3 linked regions of the Caenorhabditis elegans genome follow. The protein of the gene in region 1 purifies or fractionates together with the protein of each later gene. This does not show direct contact. Each region holds a gene or a part of one and is shown on either strand. Other genes may lie near its edges.

What was found. The genes of interacting proteins can lie anywhere in the genome.
Region 2: the proteins of pyp-1 (region 1) and mppb-1 fractionate together in Caenorhabditis elegans (co-fractionation; one large-scale study listed by BioGRID). This does not show direct contact.
Region 3: the proteins of pyp-1 (region 1) and rab-1 fractionate together in Caenorhabditis elegans (co-fractionation; one large-scale study listed by BioGRID). This does not show direct contact.

Annotation. Positions count from the first base shown.
Region 1 is NC_003282.8:9,993,904-10,001,660, forward strand, and holds pyp-1 (Inorganic pyrophosphatase 1), read right to left. Parts: upstream 4,061-7,757; coding exon 3,854-4,060; intron 3,808-3,853; coding exon 3,656-3,807; intron 2,889-3,655; coding exon 2,758-2,888; intron 2,711-2,757; coding exon 2,220-2,710; intron 2,168-2,219; coding exon 2,001-2,167; intron 1,957-2,000; coding exon 1,821-1,956; 3' UTR 1,482-1,820; downstream 1-1,481. Other genes in the region: uba-1 (E1 ubiquitin-activating enzyme), read right to left, coding at 826-1,020; C47E12.3 (alpha-1,2-Mannosidase), read right to left, coding at 5,404-5,616, 5,672-6,097, 6,142-6,416, 6,469-6,921, 7,439-7,518, 7,562-7,698, 7,741-7,757. UniProt on the Caenorhabditis elegans protein: Catalyzes the hydrolysis of inorganic pyrophosphate (PPi) forming two phosphate ions. Plays a role in intestinal development and subsequent normal secretory, digestive and absorption functions. Required for larval development.
Region 2 is NC_003282.8:9,070,879-9,078,229, forward strand, and holds mppb-1 (Mitochondrial-processing peptidase subunit beta), read left to right. Parts: upstream 1-3,794; 5' UTR 3,795-3,798; coding exon 3,799-3,831; intron 3,832-3,877; coding exon 3,878-4,000; intron 4,001-4,049; coding exon 4,050-4,136; intron 4,137-4,196; coding exon 4,197-4,326; intron 4,327-4,379; coding exon 4,380-4,765; intron 4,766-4,848; coding exon 4,849-4,953; intron 4,954-5,008; coding exon 5,009-5,128; intron 5,129-5,179; coding exon 5,180-5,276; intron 5,277-5,324; coding exon 5,325-5,620; 3' UTR 5,621-5,693; downstream 5,694-7,351. Other genes in the region: Nuclear hormone receptor family member nhr-11, read left to right, coding at 154-374, 1,097-1,327, 1,435-1,566, 1,616-1,680, 1,728-1,859, 1,906-2,021, 2,342-2,490, 2,541-2,642; mans-4 (alpha-1,2-Mannosidase), read right to left, coding at 5,716-5,854, 5,897-6,497, 6,545-6,857, 6,910-7,040, 7,087-7,272, 7,329-7,351. UniProt on the Caenorhabditis elegans protein: Catalytic subunit of the essential mitochondrial processing protease (MPP), which cleaves the mitochondrial sequence off newly imported precursors proteins. Preferentially, cleaves after an arginine at position P2.
Region 3 is NC_003283.11:1,260,959-1,267,578, forward strand, and holds rab-1 (RAB family), read right to left. Parts: upstream 3,032-6,620; 5' UTR 2,999-3,031; coding exon 2,976-2,998; intron 2,921-2,975; coding exon 2,800-2,920; intron 2,746-2,799; coding exon 2,698-2,745; intron 2,645-2,697; coding exon 2,549-2,644; intron 2,494-2,548; coding exon 2,293-2,493; intron 2,245-2,292; coding exon 2,116-2,244; 3' UTR 1,659-2,115; downstream 1-1,658. Other genes in the region: C39F7.1 (uncharacterized protein), read left to right, coding at 856-1,350, 1,399-1,629; C39F7.5 (BACK domain-containing protein), read left to right, coding at 3,837-3,877, 3,926-4,019, 5,076-5,610, 6,176-6,550.

The DNA.
Region 1 (7,757 bases):
CACAACAAAAAGTGAGCAAGAGCGGGAACGGAAATATGATGACTAACAGAGACGCAGAGAAATAGAGAAAACATGGGATTGACAACAAATAAATAGAACTACGAATGAAAATACACTTTTCAGGGTTTCACTGGCCGAAACTAAAACGTAAATTGTTATTATGTATCGGGACAATTTTACCACCTCAGTTCATCTAATGAAAAAGTCATCAATTTATAACCTCATTCTCTAAAATATTTTACCTGATTACAAAAGTAGACGCCTAAAACATCAATTTCAAACAATTCCAGAATATTCTTAAAACTTACCTTTTTGGGCATATGCCAACCCGGATCATACTTCCTGATATATTCCATATACATAATGAAACAAGGACTAAATTAAAATAGAGAATATACGAGTAAGCATTAAGGATATGTATTTTCTATCCGTCAACAAAATCCCAACTATTATTATTCATTGTCGGCTACGAAGCAGTGTATCAGCGCCAGCTTCTGCGTGGTTGCCACGGCAACTTTCCCTCTAATTTTCTGGGCGAACGAAGATTAAATATAAAAGAAAGCGAACGGAGAATGCGTTTATTCTTGTGATTTGGTAGAAAAATCAGTTCTCATTTTGAATGGGGTTTTCACCTGCTGTTTCGACTAAAAAATCAGAGTGAAATTCGGCGAACACTCATTATCTTTTTGTTGAAATAGCAAAACAACGGAAAGAAACGAGGATTCTTAAATTAATTGAATCTCTGAGAGCTTTCTTTTCAAGCTTCTTATGAATTAAAAATTGTTAATTCAGATTTTTTAAAAATAGTTTTCCATTTCAACTTACATTGACCCCAGAAAGTGTTTGCTGCTTTGGCGCTCCGACGATCGTTCCGTTTCCTACGACTGTTGGTTCTTCTTCGTCGTCAGTCTTGGATCGTTTCGCCGGAGGATATTCGTTTTCTCCTTCACGCTGCAGCTTGTTATTGGTGGCCTTGTTGTTAGTTTTGTTGGCCGATGTTAGCTCAAGGATGGTAGTCATTAATCACGAAAGATCAGAACCACTGAAAATAGTTTTTAATTGATGAAAACTGATGCAGTTCGAATAATGGTGGCTTAAAAGAGAAGAATCTGATGATGAGCTTTCGGCGAGAATTGAGATTGAAAAGCGAATGATTTTTAACCACTGCACGTTTCGAAAAAATGCGAAACAAACTGTTTGTGGAAGATTCTAGAAGGATGAAATTATTGATTTTCATTTGAAAAAAGTGGCGCGCTTGCGAAATGAAGAAAAAGGAACATAAGTGGAAAATGGCGCCAAGTTTCTCATAGAAATATTAGCAGTAAAATAGAGCGCTTTTGCATTTTTCTTCTTTGACATAAAAACATCGCTATCGTCGTCTCGTAGTGTTTGTGTTCCTTTTTTGCGAAAGAAATTTCTCGATATTTCTAATGTATTTTTAAAAGTTCGTTCGTATATGTTTGAAATCAGCATTTTCAAAATTTAAATTGTTTCTTCTGTTTATCGAGTTCGTGCTGACTCTGCTCACTGCTTTTTCCAAAGGAACTTTGAATTTAAAAGATCTGTTTGGATTTGACAAATAATTCACGTATGGTGGTAAACCAAAAAGAAAACATCACATACATAAACAGAGAAGATCCCCAATTCAATTTTTAAAAGTTTTTCGAATAATGAAAAAAACAATATAAAATTAAAGGAATCAAATAATCAAATACGTTGGAACAAAACAAGAGAATGAGGGAGTCAGTATAATTTCAGGGAGCGACAGTGCAATAAATTTAAAGTTTTGAAGATGCTTCACGGCTTCCAGGGCGTACTAGTCATCCTTGCACAAAATGCCACTTATCAACATCTCCTGGTAGTGGAGCATTTGCTCCATGTTCTGGGGTAGCGCCAATGGCAGTTGCGGCCGCTTCATCAGTTCCTTGGTGAACAGCTTCTGGAACCCGAGAGACTCTGAAATTTGAAGTTTAGAATATTAAAAGCGATGAAATCCCTACGTGTTCAAGGATGGGTTTGCTTCCTTGATGAGAGTCTTCCAATATTCGTTGGTCTCATCGATGACTTTCTCCGCGTATTCTCGGTTCTTGAACTCTCCATTAAAAGCGAACTCGTTGGCTGGTTTTCCTGCTGGAATCTTGTAATTGCGGAACCATTCAACAGATGCCTGAAAGAAAAAAAATGAAACGTATTTTGAAAAATGTTTAATCGAAACTTACAGCCAATAGTCCAGGATAAACCTTTTCGACGTCATCAATGTCATTCAACTTGTCAGCATTCTCATCGTTGACATCAATTGCGACCAATTTCCAATCGGTCTCTCCTTCGTCAATGAGAGCCAATGTTCCGAGAACTTTTACTTGCAGAACAGCTCCCCGTCCGGCAACCTTTGATCCAACTTCAATAACATCAATTGGATCATTGTCTCCTTTAGCTCCAGTGTCAGGAACAACATGGTTTGGATCTTCCCATGTCTGTGGAAGAGCTCCGTAGTTCCAGATGTATCCTTTGTGTGGGAAAATGTTGTGAACAAAGCGAGCTACACCCTTCTTCTCATCTTGCTTGATTGGCGAGAATGGTTCCTTGGTGGCCATTTCCATTTTAGCATTTGTCCAACGTGGAATCTCAACAATCATGTTGTAAACTCTCTTGTCCTTGTTGGCGAACAATGGAATATCGTGCCAAGGAGATACGATTCCTTGTGGTCCCTCTGCAAAATAGATATTAGAACCAATAATTATAGCAGCTTCGACTCACTGATATAAACTCTATAATCCAAACTATAAAGAGATCCACGCTCGACGGCTTCGTAAACTGCTGAATCTCCGGCTCCGGTGCTCATTTTCACAGCTTGACTTTGCAAAATGACAGCAGTCTCCGACAAGGGCCTGAAAAATAATAATAATGCGAATATTGAAAACTACATGTGTTTGCGAGTGGAATTAGATGCTATCATGAAAACACTTCTACACTCATAACAGCCAATTATAAGTATAACAAACTTGTTTGGGTTTCGGAAACAACGACCGCAAAAGAGCCAAGAGAACATTTTTCACAAGGTTTTTGTTAAACTAATCTTTAAACATTTTGCCACTCGAAACTATTAAAACGTGGATTTGCAAAAGTTTTCACGTTAAAAGTTTAAAAAAAAAATACGCCAGAATTTAAAATGCGAATTCAAATAAAGACAATAAAGCAACTTGAAAATAAATTTCCAAACACAAAGTGTCATTTTATAAGCATGTGTACTGGCATCTTTGAAAAGTATGTTACATAATTATAGGCAACATTTCTTTATTCTTTGAGCATTTGGTGACGGACTAGTCTTATCAGCTGACACCGCCCGTTTGCAATGTGAGGTGACGGGGTAAAGTTTAGTACGCCTACACTTCATCTACAAGGGGCTGCTGGACAAACTGAAGTTTTGGAGAAGGGTTAAATATTTTTAAACTACGTTTTTTCTCAATATAAGATCTAGCAGCGATTCGAGCATGACCCAGATTTAGATTAAATAATTGTTTTCTTTTCTTTTCCGCTCTACCAATGGATGTGAGTTATTAGAAAGTGATAGAAAACATCAATAAGGATTATATAAAACGTTATCCTCCCTTAAAAACGACACAGACACAAGAAGGAAGAAACATCAACACGCAACCTCGTGTGCAGACTCCTCTCCGAATTGGCTGACATTTGTCGTTGAGCTCCCGAAGAAGAGGTGGAGACGGCTGTGGTAAGACTGCCACGAGGAGAAGGTAATTGGACAGTTGAGCTGCCGGAATCCATTGAAGTGGTGTGAATCGCAGAAACCTACACATAACCAAAATAAAACTAGAACAATACTCATCAGTCTTGCCTGTGTGACGTTTGTAACTGGACGCGATGTCCTTGAAGTGGCCCATTTCTGTGAAGTATTTGAACTGCTGGTGGATGTTGTTGCAGTGTTTGAAGATGACGAGACAGTGGCGATGGCGCTTTCTTGGCTCACGGCACAGCCCATAATAAGACGAGTTGATAACAAAAATCCTCTCGCCGTGGCCACACTTCGACAGCTCAGTATCATCTAGGAAGAGATGAGGACAACTACAGACATTTGTGAGATATATGCGGAAAACACGAGAGACGCTGTGGCGCATGCACATTTTCAAGCAGTTGGTGATATGTGTGGATTTGGTTATGTCGTCATGATAGAAGCAAGATTAAATTGAAAATTGAAACATAAGGCAGGATAATATCATTCAACGATTATCTAAACCCTGTGGCTCAAAACAATCAGCATAAAAAACTCTCACCTGGGCCCAAAAGAAATCCTAATTTCAGTCATGAAATTTTTGAACATCTCAATATAGATAACATCAACTCAATAGAGGTTTAAAATAAATTTGCACAAGCTAATTTTCTTGTCTAAAAGGCTCTTCGCATGTTTGGTGATAAATGGCTTCTTGTTCAATGGCACGGATAAAAGTTATGGAAGACATGCATTTTCAATTTCCTTATCGCAATAATATGTAGCTTGAAAAACGCAGAAAAAATAAAATTAATCGTTGATGTTCCTAATAAATAACTCCACTCAGTATTGATCAATGTATTTAATCACTCTTAGCAGATAATTTTACAAATACTGAATACATTTTTGAGAATTAATATGTATAAAAAATAACTAAAAATTTGATTAAGATAAAAACAAAACAAGAATAGCATTGCCAGCGCAGCAATTTGTAAAAAATAGGCCTACGAAAATATAGCAGTGTACACACACATCACACCACAAACTACATGAAAATGCAGACGCAACCCTCAGCTACGGTAACAGTGAAATATTTAAGTCTGAACGCATAAAAATAAAATAAAAATCCCAGACAGTTGAGAAAATATGCTAAATATTAATTTGCATTTGAAAACCACCAAATAGGAACAGTCGAATGCAACAAACCTCGTAGCCAAAAATACAGCGACTGTGAAAAGTATAGCAGCCATCATCGCGATCAGCGGCTTGTTTCGTTTGGCGATCAACACGAGGCCCATCAAGAAACGACCATCACTGAAAGATCAATCAAAGAACACTTCTGGGAGGAGAATCTAATATTGAAAACCGCTTGGACTTGTTTTTGCTCTGTGAGCAGTCTTCTCTTATCAATACCTCTCGGTTTCTCCATTCGCCATTGTATTACACTGATTACAAATCACAAACGATGTGTCATAATTGTTGGTAAAACTTAAACTCTTATTGATTTTAGTAGAATGTAAACATATGATTTCATTATTCTATCTTCTTTTGATTTATTTCTAGATCATTGAAATTCATATATTTTAATGCTAACCGGAAAAAAAATATTGCTATCACAGAACTAAAACCACATAAAATATAAGGCAACAAGAAATCAGATATGCAATAGTACAAATAAATTATAACCAATCGTGAAGAACCGAATCAACTCCAATAACTTTGAACAATTCACGCATTTGAGAATGACGAAGTGGTGGGGTTCCAAAAGTGAAGTCTGTGGCAGTTTCGCAAAATGATGAGTTGGTACGTGGCAATGGTTTGAGAGGTGGATCATATTGAGATGGCGGAGTAGGAGGCAGATTGAACAGCGGGGATATTGGAAATATGTGACCCTGAAATTACTTTTCTAATTGTAAGTAAGAATTCCTAGATCAGCAATATTCATACCTCTGTTGAAAAAAGAACACTTTCTTGCTGTTCCTTGTTAATTGGATGATCTACATCGAACAACAAGTATAAATACTTTAATGTTTCTGATAAGAAAAACGATTCCATTCGATCTTCAAGACTTCCATCAATGACATCATGCACAGTTGCGAAGCCACATTTTACTCGAGTAATTGTTTCTAATGAATCAAGAATTTCCAGTCCAACATGCTGATAAAATGGATTTTTCGTAGCAGTGTACAATAGATATGTAGATTCAACAAATTCTGGACGAAGTGGATAAAATGAGACATCAGGAGCTTGTAACTGCCAATTGAATCGTTCGGGTAGAACTCCGTATTTCTTCCAAATTGCATAGTAAAGGGCATGATGGCACACAGCCTCGTCGACTTCACCAGCCAAAACCAGAACTCCTGCGAAACTTGCCTGAAATTGAAAGTTTACTAGAAACAACAATATGTAACTGTCACCTGAAGAGAATCGATCCATGTATTTGAAGTGCTTCCATCTCTTGAATCAACATTTACATAAATTGGAATATCACCTTCAAGACTGGAACACCTAGAACGACCTCGACGCATGTATGTTGTGATACGAGCAAATGATTCATTATACATATCTAAATCTCGTTGATTACCAAAAAGGATGTACGACTTTAGCATATATTCATAGAATGAATCAATTCCAGCACCGAGGCCTGCTAAGTGACCAAGCCATTCTCCAGTTTGAATGTCAATTAAGTTTCCTGAAATTAGATGTATAAAGTTTTGCAACACAATTTTTAATTTTCTCAATACCATGCAATCCAGTGACCTCATTTCTTAAATTCCACAACTTTTCATTAACTCGTCGAGCAAGTCGTTCATAGGTGTCATCTCCAAGCAGCTTTGACAATACACCAAATTCAAGCAATAGACTCCCCGCGCCTGATGTACATGTAGAGTTTGTCGTTCCCGGAAGAATTCCCTTTTGCAAGTTTATACGGGTGTAAGGAATTCCGGTGGCCGTTCCATCGAACGCTGGTAAAAGTCGCCCAGCTAAATCATGGGCAAGTGTTAAAAGTTCTCCACCGTAGTCTGACATATAGAAAGGACCAAATCGATTAGTTTTATCGGCAGCAATCATATGAGCAGCCAGAAGACCACCCATCACTCGAATAGTTGATTCGAATACTTGAACTGTTGTATTCTTTTCAAACGATACTGTTTTAATTACAAGATTAACAGCTCGTTTGAATTCGTCTGCGTCTCCTGAAAATTTACAGATTCAAAATATATGTTTTTTCTAATGTTGGAGTATCGTCAGTAGCTATTTTTGCATTGTGCAGATTCAAGCCCCTAGAATCTTTAAATACTTTTTTTTGGTTTTTTTTTGGTTCGCCACTTTTTGATCATAAATTTAAAAAATTCAGAAAAAAATTAGTTTTAATATGATAGTTGGATATTTTCGAACAAGCGGTTTTTCCCTACTGCAGTTTTAAATTTATGATCAAAAAGTGGCGAACCAAAAAAAAAAAAACAAAAAAAAGTATTTAAAGATTCCAGGGGCTTGAATCTGCACAATGCAAAAATTTTCAACGTTTTGGAACATTTGACAATTACCAAAACTTTGAATTAAATTTTCGAAAAAATCTAAACATTTTGGGTTTGTTATAATCAGACATGTTGGGCTATCATGAGTATTTTTAGACTAAATTTCCACTGACGATACTCCATTTTTTAATTTTGACAATTAATAATAACTTTTGAAAAAAATTAACAAACTTACCAAAAACCACAAGCGAATCCAAAGTGTCAATTAATCCCAACGAGTAATCTCCAAGCACATCGTTAACATTAATATTATCTCTGAATCTGTTATTGAAACCTCTCTCTTTTCCTGCTCACTTACGGATTATCATGATCGTGTCCACGGCCTCTACAATGAATTGGATCTAATTCATCTGCTGGAAATGCATGTTCCATGTAGTTATCCCATCCAAATTGAAACATTTCGCGTGTTTTTGCCAATCCATATTGCAAATCCACCTGTCAGTTATAGTTTTAGTTACAAATTAGATGCACACATACATCTGAAATTGACGCAT
Region 2 (7,351 bases), 920 kb from region 1:
AAATCTTTCAATAAAATATGCGCCTTGTCTGTGATCAGGTCGTAGTCATTAATTGTGCCAACACGAATAAATGGCAAAAAACATACTGCACCGTTCACATTGATAACTAGATTTCTAAATCCTGTAATTTATTAATACTTTATAATGTTTCAGTAGTTCGTTCCAAGCGCGAAAACTTTGCATGCACCCGTCGGAAGGATTCCCGAAACAATTCAGATGCAGCACCGAACAGTAATTCTCCATCAACAAGACAGTCTTCGAGCCCAGAAGAAATGGATGACTGGTCATTTCAAATGTTTGAGGAGAAGCCTAAAATAGAAGATCTTCCATTAACACCTTCTATATCTCATCCACCATTACCAACTCAGCTAATGGTATGTTAAACAAGAGTTTATGGTCAGAGAGAGGAAGAGAACATGCATACTTTGTACTTTGACCCGTCTCTCAATGAGTAATGCAATTAGATGATGTTCTCTTACACAGACCAGTAGACTAACTCATCTTTTGATATTCGCCCTTTTTGGGAAAACCCCTTAACTTTGTTTGTATGTTGATTTGATCTTTGAAGTTTTTCCATGCTTTTTGGTGGCTTGATTGCAGGCTAAGAGTACTGTAGATAAAGCGGATGGACCGGTTTTGCAAATAAAATTGTCTTGAATGATGTTGGGAAATTAAGAGGGAATGAGACGGTGGAAGGAGAAGCCTGACGGAAAATGGGTATTGTAAACGGGGCCTTTTTGCACTTACGATAGGGTAATAATTTTTAAAGACGGACTGCAATTGTTCATAAGATATTTAAAAAGAAAATATACTCTCAGACTTTAAATGACGCTTTTCTACTCTTGAAGGATCTATATGTAGATCTCTAAATCACTGCAATTTTTCAAATGTGAATTCTACATTTTTATTTGCAGTGACAGAATACTTTTTGCAAGGACATATTTTTCTACTCTTTAGACACTGATTTCAGGATAAATGTGCTAAAATTATAATTGGTTTTGAGTGTCTAAGAATAACTTGACTTCCGTTTTTTCAAGCATTATGAAAGATTGATGTTTCCTTTAGATTCCAGAGTGTAATTGAAACTGATTTTCAGCCAGAAGAATCTTCACGAACATCGTCATTTGATGGGGGATACTGTTCATCTTATCCATCATCATCAGCAGCCACCCATCCATCTCCACCTGGAATGTTATATTCAATTGAAAACAATTCAATTTTACAATACTATCATTCAATGGAAACTGGATTATGCTCGAAAAGAAGAATAATGTACACAAATACTGGTATGGACTTCATTCTGGATACTCATGCAAATTTGCAATGTGTAAGTTTTCATGATCATATTTTTAATTTATAGTTACACTTCTATGAAATTATTATTTAATGGCGAATCAGTTTGTGAAAATTCTCAGCATTTCTCATTATTTTCAGCCGTTCACAGTCAATGATCTACGCCCACACGATTACCGAAATTTTCGTGGAATGCTCAGACATGATTTTGTAATGCTTTTTGACTACGCAACACGATTTCCAGAGTTTAATAGTTTTACGAGTCATGAGAAAGTGAGTTAATACTACGCAATTAGGCTTCTCAAATTATTATTTTCTGCAGAATATGTTCTATCGGCAAATTGTTGCTGTTGATTTTATATTGTCTTCCGCATATTACACGGCAAAGTAAGTTTTTTTTAGAAATGACTAAAATGAAAATAAAATGATTTCAGACTCGGTCAAGCACATCGTCAAATGGTATTGACAAATGGTGAATATCTGAATATGGATCCTTTACCAATGTCCGGAAATGAAATTGATGCCAGACGATATTTTGATTGCGATGAGGACTTTTCAAAGTATAGGTAACTGTTCTGCTACAACAATTACAATAATTGCATATAATTTCAGAGCTCTAATGCCAATGCACATCGCCATTTGGGAAGAAAGCATCGTCCCATTTTCCAAACTGAATGTCACTTTTGAAGAATTTTGTTTGTTGAAGGCACTTACAGTATGGCAAGCTAGTGAGTTATTTTTTCACGTTTCAGAGATAGCTTAACTTGTGTTTGAAACTCTTACCACTTTTTTTCCAGGCGGGTGTTTATTTAGTGTTAATTTTTAAATTCATCATTTTCTCGTAAAATAAACTCATATTTTGGCAGTAGGCAGGTGAAGGTGGCATATCAGACAGATATTTTTGTGTCTACACGGAGGAGTGACTCTGCCAAAGTGATTAACACATTTAGATTTGTTTTAAATAAAAATTCAAATACGATATACATAAGTTCATAATCTTTTTAAAAAAATGTATTCAACTTTCAAATTAATCCTTCAATAATTTCAGCATACTTCAAGCTAACTGAAAATGGCCGTGAAAAATGTCGTAGACAAAGGAATATCATAATTGGCTTTCTATCAAAAATGTGTCATTCACCAGGTGGAGGCGGAGAGCATCGTGTTGGAGAACTTCTGATGAGTATGAATTATCTCAGGGTTTGTTTATTTTTGTATAACAGCTATCCAGCAAACAAAGGATATTACAGGAATCTGCTCAAAAACTCACAACTTCTTACGTGATGCTCACAGTTTTCAATGTTCTCAACTGTGATTCAATGCTTCATGAAATGCTTAATTTTCAATACTAGCTAAATATTTGTGTGAAAGTGTTTTATTATGTTCAAATTTTATTGTTTTATCATGATCGTCAATAAAACAAGGGCAAATACTGTTTTACTACTTGATCTCTTACTACGTGATCTCTTTTACTATGATTTGCATACATAGATCTTTTACGACGTTTTACTCTTTTGCTACAACCGTATTTTTTACTCCGTTATCCCATTTCGATCTTTTGCTACAGTTTGTATCTTTTGTTACGGTGGACATTTTTACTACAATGACAAGGATTGTATCCTTTACTAATGATTTTTTACTACATACGAATTAAAAATTAATTTTCATAGTACATATATTCTAGATATGAACAAATGTATGAATATTTTTTAAAAATGCATAGGTCACAGTTTTAGTTTGTTCTCAAGTAGTTCTAGTAAATTTCAGTTGTTTTCTTTTGATGGGATACTGAGTTGGAGTTCATGGAGAGATACTGTTGGGTTACTGTAGTTGTACTGTGGTAGTAAGAGTTTTCAGATTATATCGTTTTTTTTTTTAATTTCTAGAAATTGATTCATTATGAAATGATCAGAACTTATTATGAACATTTGGCTCTAGATATTAAAAAAACACGATATGCTCTTTTGTTCTCTTGTAATCATGAATAAGGATCGCTAGATACCCACTCCTGTTTGTGCGCGATTATAAATAATCCCCGAAAGGACATTTCCAAAATTACCGTTTCCCTGGACATCGTTTTCCAAAAATACAAGCTCTAAACGAGAGCCCCTTGATGTTTTTTATTTGGTTCGAAATTTTATATGTCTGCATAATCTGAAAAATTAATTGGAAATTCCGAAGTTATGAAATACCGCGTGCAATTGTTCAAAATCTTTTATTCAAACTTCCGCCTTTTTGCCCGCGGCGGCCGCGTTTGTGAAAGTTCTTCCATTCGCTACGTACACCTCGTGGACAAAGTTAATTTCACTTTTTTAGAAGCATTTTCTGCAATTCTGTTCAATTTTTGTTTAATTCGTTACTCTAATCGTTTTGTTGTATCAATGTCAGCAAAAAGATTTTTATTCCAGTATTACGTAGATTTGTTTGTGTTTAGCCGACAAATTGAGCTTCACTATTGCGTAACCATTGTTTCCTTGAAAATAGAGCATATAAATTTTTTTCAGATAAATGTACAGAAGACTAGCCTCCGGCTTATATCAGGTAATTTAAACAATTTTGTTTACAGTGAAAGTAATTTATTTTTCAGACTTCCCAAAGAAGAATCGCACAAGTTCAGCCGAAATCAGTATTTGTCCCAGAAACAATTGTAACGACACTTCCGAATGGGTTCAGAGTTGCAACAGAAAACACAGGTGGATCTACTGCTACTGTAATTATTTTTCCTAAATTATTTGTTTGTTCAAAGCTATTTTTATTAGATCGGAGTATTTATTGATGCCGGCAGTCGCTACGAGAATGAGAAAAACAATGGAACAGCTCATTTTCTAGAGCATATGGCGTTCAAAGTTAGTTTAATTTAATTTTTAGAAAATTTTGAATTTCATATAAAAATCCGAATTTTTCAGGGAACGCCTCGCCGGACTCGAATGGGATTGGAGCTTGAAGTTGAAAATATTGGAGCTCATCTAAATGCGTACACTTCTAGAGAAAGCACGACGTATTATGCTAAATGTTTTACAGAAAAGCTTGACCAATGTAAGAAATAAAATTATTAATGCAATTTTTAAAATATCTATTCCGAATTGCAGCCGTCGATATTCTTTCGGATATTCTTCTGAACAGCAGTCTTGCCACTAAAGATATCGAAGCAGAACGTGGTGTAATTATTCGAGAAATGGAAGAAGTTGCACAAAACTTTCAAGAAGTTGTATTTGATATTCTTCATGCTGATGTTTTCAAAGGAAATCCTCTTTCCTATACAATTCTTGGTCCAATTGAATTAATTCAAACAATCAATAAGAATGATCTTCAAGGATATATTAATACACATTATCGAAGTGGCAGAATGGTATTAGCAGCAGCCGGAGGTGTCAATCATGATGCGATTGTTAAAATGGCAGAAAAATATTTCGGAGAGCTCAAGCATGGAGATTCTTCAACTGAATTCGTCCCAGCCACTTACAGTCCCTGTGAAGTCAGTTTTTGTTTGAATAAATTCGCTATCAGCAAATATTAAATAGAATTAACAAAATATATTTTTAAATGTTTACATTTCAGGTTCGAGGTGACATTCCAGATCTTCCAATGTTGTACGGAGCGATGGTTGTCGAAGGAGTATCTTGGACCCATGAAGATAATCTTGCCCTTATGGTGGCTAATACGGTACTTTTTTAAAAAATATTTTTATAACTTAGAAGTTGATAGTTCATCATTCCAGCTAATGGGTGAATACGATCGTATGCGTGGATTCGGCGTGAATGCTCCAACTCGCTTGGCTGAAAAATTGTCACAAGACGCAGGAATTGAGGTTTTCCAATCATTTAACACGTGCTATAAAGTAATGAATTCCTGGGAAAAAAAACTCTTTTTACATATTTCTGTAATTCAGGAGACAGGATTAGTTGGAACTTATTTCGTAGCTGCTCCGGAATCCATCGACAATCTTATTGATTCAGTTCTTCAACAATGGGTTTGGCTTGCGAACAGTGAGTTTTTATTTAACATAGTCCTGAGTCAACATCTTTCATTTCCAGACATTGATGAAGCAGCGGTTGATCGTGCCAAGCGCTCCCTGCATACGAATCTACTCCTAATGCTCGATGGCTCAACTCCAGTCTGTGAAGATATTGGTCGACAACTCCTTTGCTACGGTCGTCGGATACCAACTCCAGAATTACATGCCCGAATCGAATCAATCACAGTCCAGCAGCTCCGAGATGTTTGCCGACGTGTATTCCTTGAAGGACAGGTCTCTGCAGCAGTTGTTGGAAAGACGCAGTATTGGCCAGTTAATGAAGAAATTCATGGAAGATTGATCAGAATGCAATAGATACATGTGTTATAGTTTATTTGTTAGACAAACGTTTTGTTTTTGGTAAAAATAAATTCTAAAAACCCGTCAAAAAGTGAAAAATACAGCATCAGTCAATTGTAAATTGGAAGTGGGTGGGCTTCAGTGTTGAGAACCCATCGATCGAGTGGAAGGATTTCTTGATCATCAGCCATTAGAAGGTAAAGGTATTTGAGGGTCTCAGCAAGGAAGAATGATTCCATTTTGTCACGTCTGAATTTGAATGATTAAAAATTAAACAAAATGCTGACAAACCTTTTGATCTTCTTTCTGAGCACATTGTCAATTGAGCTGTATCCACCAGTTTCCACTTTTGCATACTTTTCAATCGACTCAAAAGCTTTCCATCCCCACTCTTGATATTTCTTATCTTTAGTAACACGATACAAATAGAACCACGCTTCAATTGCTTCTGGACGGAGAAGTGAATGAGCATCAAGATTCTTCACATAAGTATCCGCTTGTGTCATATCAGAACTATCCTCCATATTGAAATGTATTATTTCTGGTCCAAGTCCTGTTGGATTTTCATACATTTTATGACAAACATTTCCAATATTTTTAGCCATTTCCAAATGTTCATTGTCATGATCAAGACCATTTAAATGGGAAAGTACAAGAGATCCGGAAAGGAAACAGACAAGGTGATCCATTTTTGGATAGAACTGTGCCAATTCGGTTATTTCACCGAGAAACCAGATGCTATTCGGCTGAGATTGTCTATAGAGATGCTTTTTCATGGCGGCAATGGATTGAATGAAGTCGTCACGCAGCCAATCAATTGATTTTTTGGTTTGAAGCCATTGCTTGATAAGATATTCGTAGTAGCTGTCAGCACGAGCTCCAAGAGTAATACCTAAAAAGAAGAAGAATTTTGTTAAATTAGTTGATATTCAAACAAACTTGATTTTTTGAATTCTCCTTTTCCGTCAATGTAAAATGGGCACAGTCCATCCATCTTTTTACATCCAACATTGTGAACATGCTCCGATGCTCCGAACGCCACATCTTCATACTTTTGATCACCGGTCAAGGCTGTCAAGTCTCTGAATTCCAATTGTAAAGTGGTGGCTTCAGCTAAAGAAGAAAGATCGCGATTTGGACTGCAAGCATTCCCGTTATCTAGGTTTACATCACTTTTTGGTATTAGTGAAGACGATTTAGTGAAGGCTTTGATCAAATTATCTCCAAGCTGAGTAGCTTTTTCAAGGAGCGCCTGAAATAATTTTAATTAGTTTTTTTGTTTTATATACAGATTTTCGTCTTACTTCTTCTCCTGTCAGATGATACCCACTCAACAGTCCACCGAGAACTCGAATTGTGGTCTCGAATACATTAACGCTTCTGGCTGGAGACACGTTCAGATTTTCCCGAATCCATTCAACACCATCGCGAGTTTCTGGAAATTAATTTTTTTTAAATTCAATTATAAAATTTCAAAATACCTTCTTCCAATCCCATTATTATCGCAGTATCTAAACTATCTATAATGGTAAGTCCAAGCCCAAAAGAATCGTCAAATCGCTTTGAAACTGGGCGAAGTTCATCATGACCCCATGCATACTTTTTATATCCAGACCAAGCATGCTGGAATGCTCGTACAATGGCTTTTTGTCTTTCATTCGTAGGACCTGAAAAACTAGGATTTTTAAACTTAAAAATAGAATTCATGAAATCAAAAAAAAACCTTGAAAAACTGGCGGCGCTCTT
Region 3 (6,620 bases), on another chromosome or scaffold:
CCCGGGATTAGCCTGGAAAATGTTCTCCTCGAGGAGTACACGAGCTGCGTAAATCGACACATATATCTATAGATGCGTTTTTTTTTGATTTTTGACTCAAAAAGGTAAAAACCGAAAATTTAGAAAGAAGTGTGCGCCTTTAAAAAGTACAGTAGTCTCGAAATCTTGCACTTTTCCTATTTTCAGATGTTTTTTGTATTACTTGAATACAATTTTTTCTGAAAATGTGTATTTCGCAACATATTTGACGCGCAAAATATCTCATAGCGAAAATTACAGTAATTCTTTAAATGGATACTGTAGCGCAGGTGTCGATTCACGGGCTCGATTCTATTTTCGTTCATTTTTTCGTATTAATTAAATTTAATTTAAAAAAAAAAAAAAAACGAGCCCGTAAATCGACACCAGCGCTACAGTATCCATTTAAAGAATTACTGTAGTTTTCGCCACGAGATATTTTGAGCTTTAAATATGTTACGCAATACGCAGACTTCTCAAAATTTTGTGTTCCCATAGTATATGACTTTATAATTTTATCAATTTTCACAAAAAAAACTTTAAATTTTTAAAAGAAACAAGAAAAAATTAAAGAAGCCGAAGCTGATTGCGAAATAGCTATACTTTTTAAAGGCGCATGCATCGTTTCATAAAATATAATTTTTTTAAATCGTGTCGAGACCGGTTACCGTACTTTTGCGTCGAAAATTACAACATTTCGCTATTGGATAATAGGACTTGAAAGGCAACCACCTAAAATTTTAGCTAAAATCGGGGGAAAAAAAACGAGATTTTCTGATTTTCCCAGAAAAAATCTCGACTTTAGATCAAAAATATTTTTTTTATTACAAGTTTCAGTTTCAGTCTCCAATGTGGCTCATGGAGGCGTGTGTCAATCCAACAACTGCCGGCTCACGAAAATGGCTAACAGAATTTCTGCCGATGGCTGCTCAGCTTCTTCTCGCCGACCGGCCGGCCTACATAATTGTTCGAAATTCGTGGAATCCCACACCGTTCGACCATTATCCATCGAGACCTGCCACGTCTATTCTGACGACGAGTGCCGGTAACGACAACAGCATCTACGTTTCAACGGATGCAAAGATCTGGACAAGTCAAGAGATCCGAGCCACCGTCGAGGACTGTGACTTTGCATCCGGAAACATGTGGTTCTACATCGGAGCTCCACGAAGTTCCGACGAACTTTTCGAAAATGTAATCGATCCACTGTTGCAGTGGAATCGTGCACCATCTGGCAGTGGTGAACTTATTGGGAGTGCCGAAGACGCGTTGGCACTGCTGCATTGGAATGCTGCAGGAGAAGTCGCCGTGCTTGGAGCTCGAGAGCTGAAGGTATAAAGGATCTTTGACTGCACCACACTTATACATGCTTCATTGCAGAAGTTGGCTAGCCGTCTCGGGATTGTTATCGAGAATGAAGACGCGATGGTTATCGACTGTCTCGAGGAGGACTTCTCTTCCAATGCCGCCACCGCCACATCCTCGGACGAACCAGAGGTGCCACGTAGAATTCCGATATTCGATATGTTCTGGGTCGGCATCGCGTTAATTATCCTCCAATTGTTGTACTTGTTATCGAAATTCGACTTTTTCCGGGAATGGTTCGCCTAAAGATAATTGATAAATAAAAACTAAAACAGAAGCACAATAAAATTCACATTTAAGTTTATGGATAGGGCTTAGACAAAAAAAAGAGGGAAGCAAATATATAAAACTCTTTTTGAAGGGGGTGATTTGGGTGGTGGATAGGGGGAAAGGATATTTTTTCACAACACAAATTATCTATTTTCGCGGAGAAAAAGCGTAAAATCGTGGGGATGTACATTCACACAGACACACACATTCAAAAAAGAAAATAATTTAGGTTACGACGTGAATTTGGGGGTGGGTGAAGGAATTTTTTATAAGGGGAGAGAAAAGACAGCAGAAGAAAAAGAAGTGAAAATCAAAAAAAAATTACATTAGATAAAATTTAGAGTGATAGGAAGAGGGGTTGCATTAGAAAATTTTCAGTGGAAAGAAACAAAAAAATACGACTAAGAGCTTGATGGTGAAAGAGTGCCGAAGAGGGGGGTATCACAGAGATTATCGTTTCGATTAACAACATCCACCGCTCTTCTTGTCTTGAACCGGTTGACTTCCCGTGATACGCACACCTGGAGCACCTCCGGCTCCTTGAACTGGTCCCATACGTGATTTGATTTCCGAAGCCATGGTAAGGAAGGCCTGAAATGTGATTTTATTTTTTTAAAAATCATTTTTAGCCCAACAAACCTGTTCAACATTCGTCGATGACTTGGCGGATGTCTCGAGGAACGGGATTCCGAGTTGTCCAGCATAATCCTGGGCAGCTTGAGTCTCCACAGCTCTCTTCGCTGTCAAATCGCATTTGTTTCCGACCAACAGCTTGTTGACGTTCTCACATGCGTACCTATCGATTTCCTGAAGCCACTGCTTCACGTTGTTGAATGTCTCCTGAAAAATGCTCATAATATTTATTGTTATAAGCTTTTTAGGAAAATAAACTAACTTGGTCAGTGATATCGTAGACAACGATAATTCCGTGAGCTCCGCGGTAGTAGCTCGATGTAATTGTGCGGAAACGTTCCTGACCAGCAGTGTCCCACTGAAAAATAACTGTTTTAAAACGAATTCGCCATTTTATTTGGTTAAACTCACGATTTGAAGCTTGATAGTTTTGCCGTCGAGCTCAATAGTACGGATTTTCTGAAAATTACAAAATCATAATAAATAATTTCGACGGAAATACTGAAAACTTACAAAGTCAACTCCGATAGTGGAGATGTATGATTCAGTGTATGTGTCATCGGCGAAACGCAGCAACAGGCACGATTTTCCGACGCCAGAATCTCCGATGAGGAGGAGTTTGAAGAGGTAGTCGCTGAAATTGGGAAAAAAATTGTTAGAAACCGAATATTCTTCTGCCGCAAACTCACTATTCAGGGTTCATTGCTGCCATCTCCTTTTTGTCGATCTGATAAATTGGAACCCCCTGAAAAATTATAAATTGCGAATTGAATAAAGCATGAGGAATCGATGCGAGAATGAGGAAAATGAGTGTCAAAAAGGATTGCGAAAGTAAAGATGAGAACGGTGACAAATCATATGACAAATCGGTCAGCAACAGGAGACAACGTGTATAATTTATTGATCGCGGTGCGGTTTGTAAACAAAAGAGAAAGCAACGAGAGAAAACCGGTTTTATCCAGACGAACAGTGCAAGAAAACCTGACTCTTTTATCAGTAAAAGAATTTTTCCTGAAAGGAAAAATTCTAAAATTCCACCGGATCAGTTTACAGACTCCAAAGCTAGAAAATATTTCGCAAGACTTTTTTATCGATAAAAATTACTTTTTCGGCATAATTTCGACTCTGATCACGCCAATAGGCAGATATTAACATCAGAAACACAATAAAGAACGTCTGGAAGCTTTTAAAAAGTCGAAAAATGGATAAAATTAGCCAGGAAAAGCTGTGGAATCGGGAGAAATGACGTGGCGAGGCAGAGAGATGAATACCCCGTGACTGCGGAGCGGCTGCGGCGCAACGCGTGCGATGGGGCGCACATGCATTATTGAAATAAAAACATGTTTTTATTGAATTTATTTGATCGAAAATACATACCTATAAATATATAAATAATATATAATATAAATATATAAATAATACGAATTTTATCTAATTTTCTGAATATCTGAAAGCATAAAAAGAACTTCACTATTTGAAGATCCTTTCCAATCTAGGAAATAATCAGATTAATCTATTGATTTTGCAGATTTTTTCCACAGAAGCTACATATGGGAGTGAATTCTTCACAAGTTGCACAAGATAGATTAAGGTGCGTAGTAAAAAATAAAAATAATTTATGGAAATTTTAAACTTTTAGTCTCACTTCTACCAGTCAAAACTCCCCGAGAAACGGTTTGCGGAGCGCTCGAAATGTGTTGAGAGCAACTTCGCGACTCAAGTTTTCGTTCAAAGTAAGTTTTAAGCACTCTGAAAATATCAAAAACGGATTTTAAAATCCGAAAATACGATATCCGGTCTCGACACGACAAACTTTTGTTAAATGCAAATTAAGTGTGTGCGTGCGCCTTTAAATCCAACTGTAAAAACTTCAAACTTTCGTTTTTTTCCATCAATTATATATTACGGGAACACAAAATTATGAGAATGCGTATTGTGCAACATATTTGACGCGCAAAATATCTCGCAGCGAAAACTACAGTAATTCTTTAAATGGATTGTGTAGCGCTGGTGTCGATTTACAGAAATCATTAATTAATCGATAAAATATTAAAAAAAAACACAAAAATGACAAAAAAAAATCATTGAAGTTGAAAAAAAATCGTTTTTAATTTTTAAAACTGTAGTTTTCGCTACGAGATATTTTGCGCGTCAAATATATATTGTGTAATGCGCATTTTTAGAATTTCGTGGTCTCGTAGCGAAAATTACAGTAATGACTTGTGTCGATTTACGGGAGCGATGTTTGAAATTAATTTCTTCTAGTGACAGCGAAATTATTTTCCAATTTTTTGCTTAATTTCGAAATTCATTTCAAAAATCGAGATCCCGTAAATCGACACAAGCGCTAGAGTAGTCATTTAAAGGATTACTGTAGTTTTCGCTACGAGATATTTTGCGCGTCAAATATGTTGTTTCGTTCCCATAATGTATAGTTTGAAGTTACAGTACTAGTTAAAGGCGCACACATTATCGCATTTGGCAAAATATTTGTCGTGTCGAGACCGTCCAACTTCCGCGTCACCAGGAGTACTGGCTTTCCTCATTTAATTTTTTGCGCTCCATTGACAATCGTCCGCCGGACAACGCGTGGAAAAGTGTTGTGTACTCCACACAACGAAAATCGAGCCGCGACGCGACACGCAACGCGCCGTAAATCTACCCAAGATATGGACGAGCCAAAATGGCCTAGTTCGGCGCAAACTCTTCCATTTCAATTTTTAAGTTAAGCCAGAACCGCGTGGCGTCGGGATAAATAAATTAAATAATAAACGACAAATCTTTTGCAGAGAAAATCTTCCACTCGAGACCAAATCCGACCGTTCGAGGAACTCATCAAAAGTTGGCCAGTTCAAGATCTCAACCTTCTTCTAGCAGAATTTGAAGCCGATTCGAAGCTACTCGAGTTTCAGCGACTATGTGATAATTCAAGAAAACCGACAAATTCTTTCCTCAGAGACTTCGAGAGCGGGAGAACCGTGTCAGGAAATCTGAATATCTTATTCAAATTCACCTCAATTCGCGCTAACCGCGCATTCGTTTCTCAAAGATGTACAAATCTCAAAATCTCGGCAAACTACGATGAGAACCCGGAAAACTTTGATTTGTGCGAGCAAAAATTTTTGAAATTCGAACAAGACGCGGTCGAGATATTCTTGAAATCGTACATTTATAACGAACAATGGCCGGAAAACTTGGGAAGTGAGATGCTCGAACAACTGTGCACAGATTTTGGATGTTTTAAGAAACTTGAAGAAGATGTGAAGCATATGTACAAGCAGGATCTGAAGCATGGCGACTTGATAATTGAAGTTGTCGACGGAAGTGAGTAGAATAGTTTTTTAGTTTCTTAGCCTTGGGCTTAGGCTTAGGCTTATCAATAGGCTTAAGCACGGGACTATGTTTAGGTTTAGGCTTAGGCTTAGGATTAGGCCCAGGCTCAGGCTTAGGCTTAGGTATAGGCTTAGGCTTAAACTTAGGCGTATGCTTATGCTAAGGAGAAGGCTCAGAACTCAAAGACTTAGGCTTAGGCTTAGGCCTAGGGCCAGGCTTAGGCTTAGGACTAGGGCCGGGCTTAGGCTTATGCTTACAACTAGGCTCAGGCTCAGGCTCAGGCTTTGGCTTTGGCTTAGAGTTAGGCACAGGCGTAGGCTTAGGCTTAGCTTTAGGCTTAGGCTCAGGGTTAAGCTGGGAATAAAAAAGAAAAAAGAAACTCAGAAAATTCAAGAACTCAGGAAAATTTAAAAAAATCTGAAAAATGAGACATTCCAAGATCGGGCAAAATACCATTAAAAAATTCGATAAAAAGTGCCAAAAAAAGCAATAGGTTCGAAAAAAAAGAACAAAAAAGCTAATTACTTTACAAAAAATCTAAATGCAATTATTTCAGAAAACACCGAAGAAAACAGCGAGAGCTTCAAAATTCGATGCTCTTCTCTAATCGCTGCTTCACGAAGTAAAATCATACGATCGTTACTGCTGAGAAAGTTGACTGAGAAAAATGAAGGAAGTTCGACAAGTCGTCCCAAACGAATTGTCTTCTCTGAACTAATATTCCCACAAGCATTCGCTCCGATATTTGTCTCATTTCTGTACACTGATCGACTGGATTGGAGTTTGGCGCCAAAATCCGAAGACTCTATATCTTCGTTATCACAAGCCAAAGCTATAACGAATAGTGGTAGAACTCCGGATTTACAACTGGCTAGAGCTCTGCAATTAATTGAGATTGCACGGTTTTTCGAAGTCGAACAGTTGGTTCAAGGTATCTATTTTACTTAAACGATCGATCCGCGAATCAGGGATGGGCGGCAATCGCCGTTTCACGTGGTGCC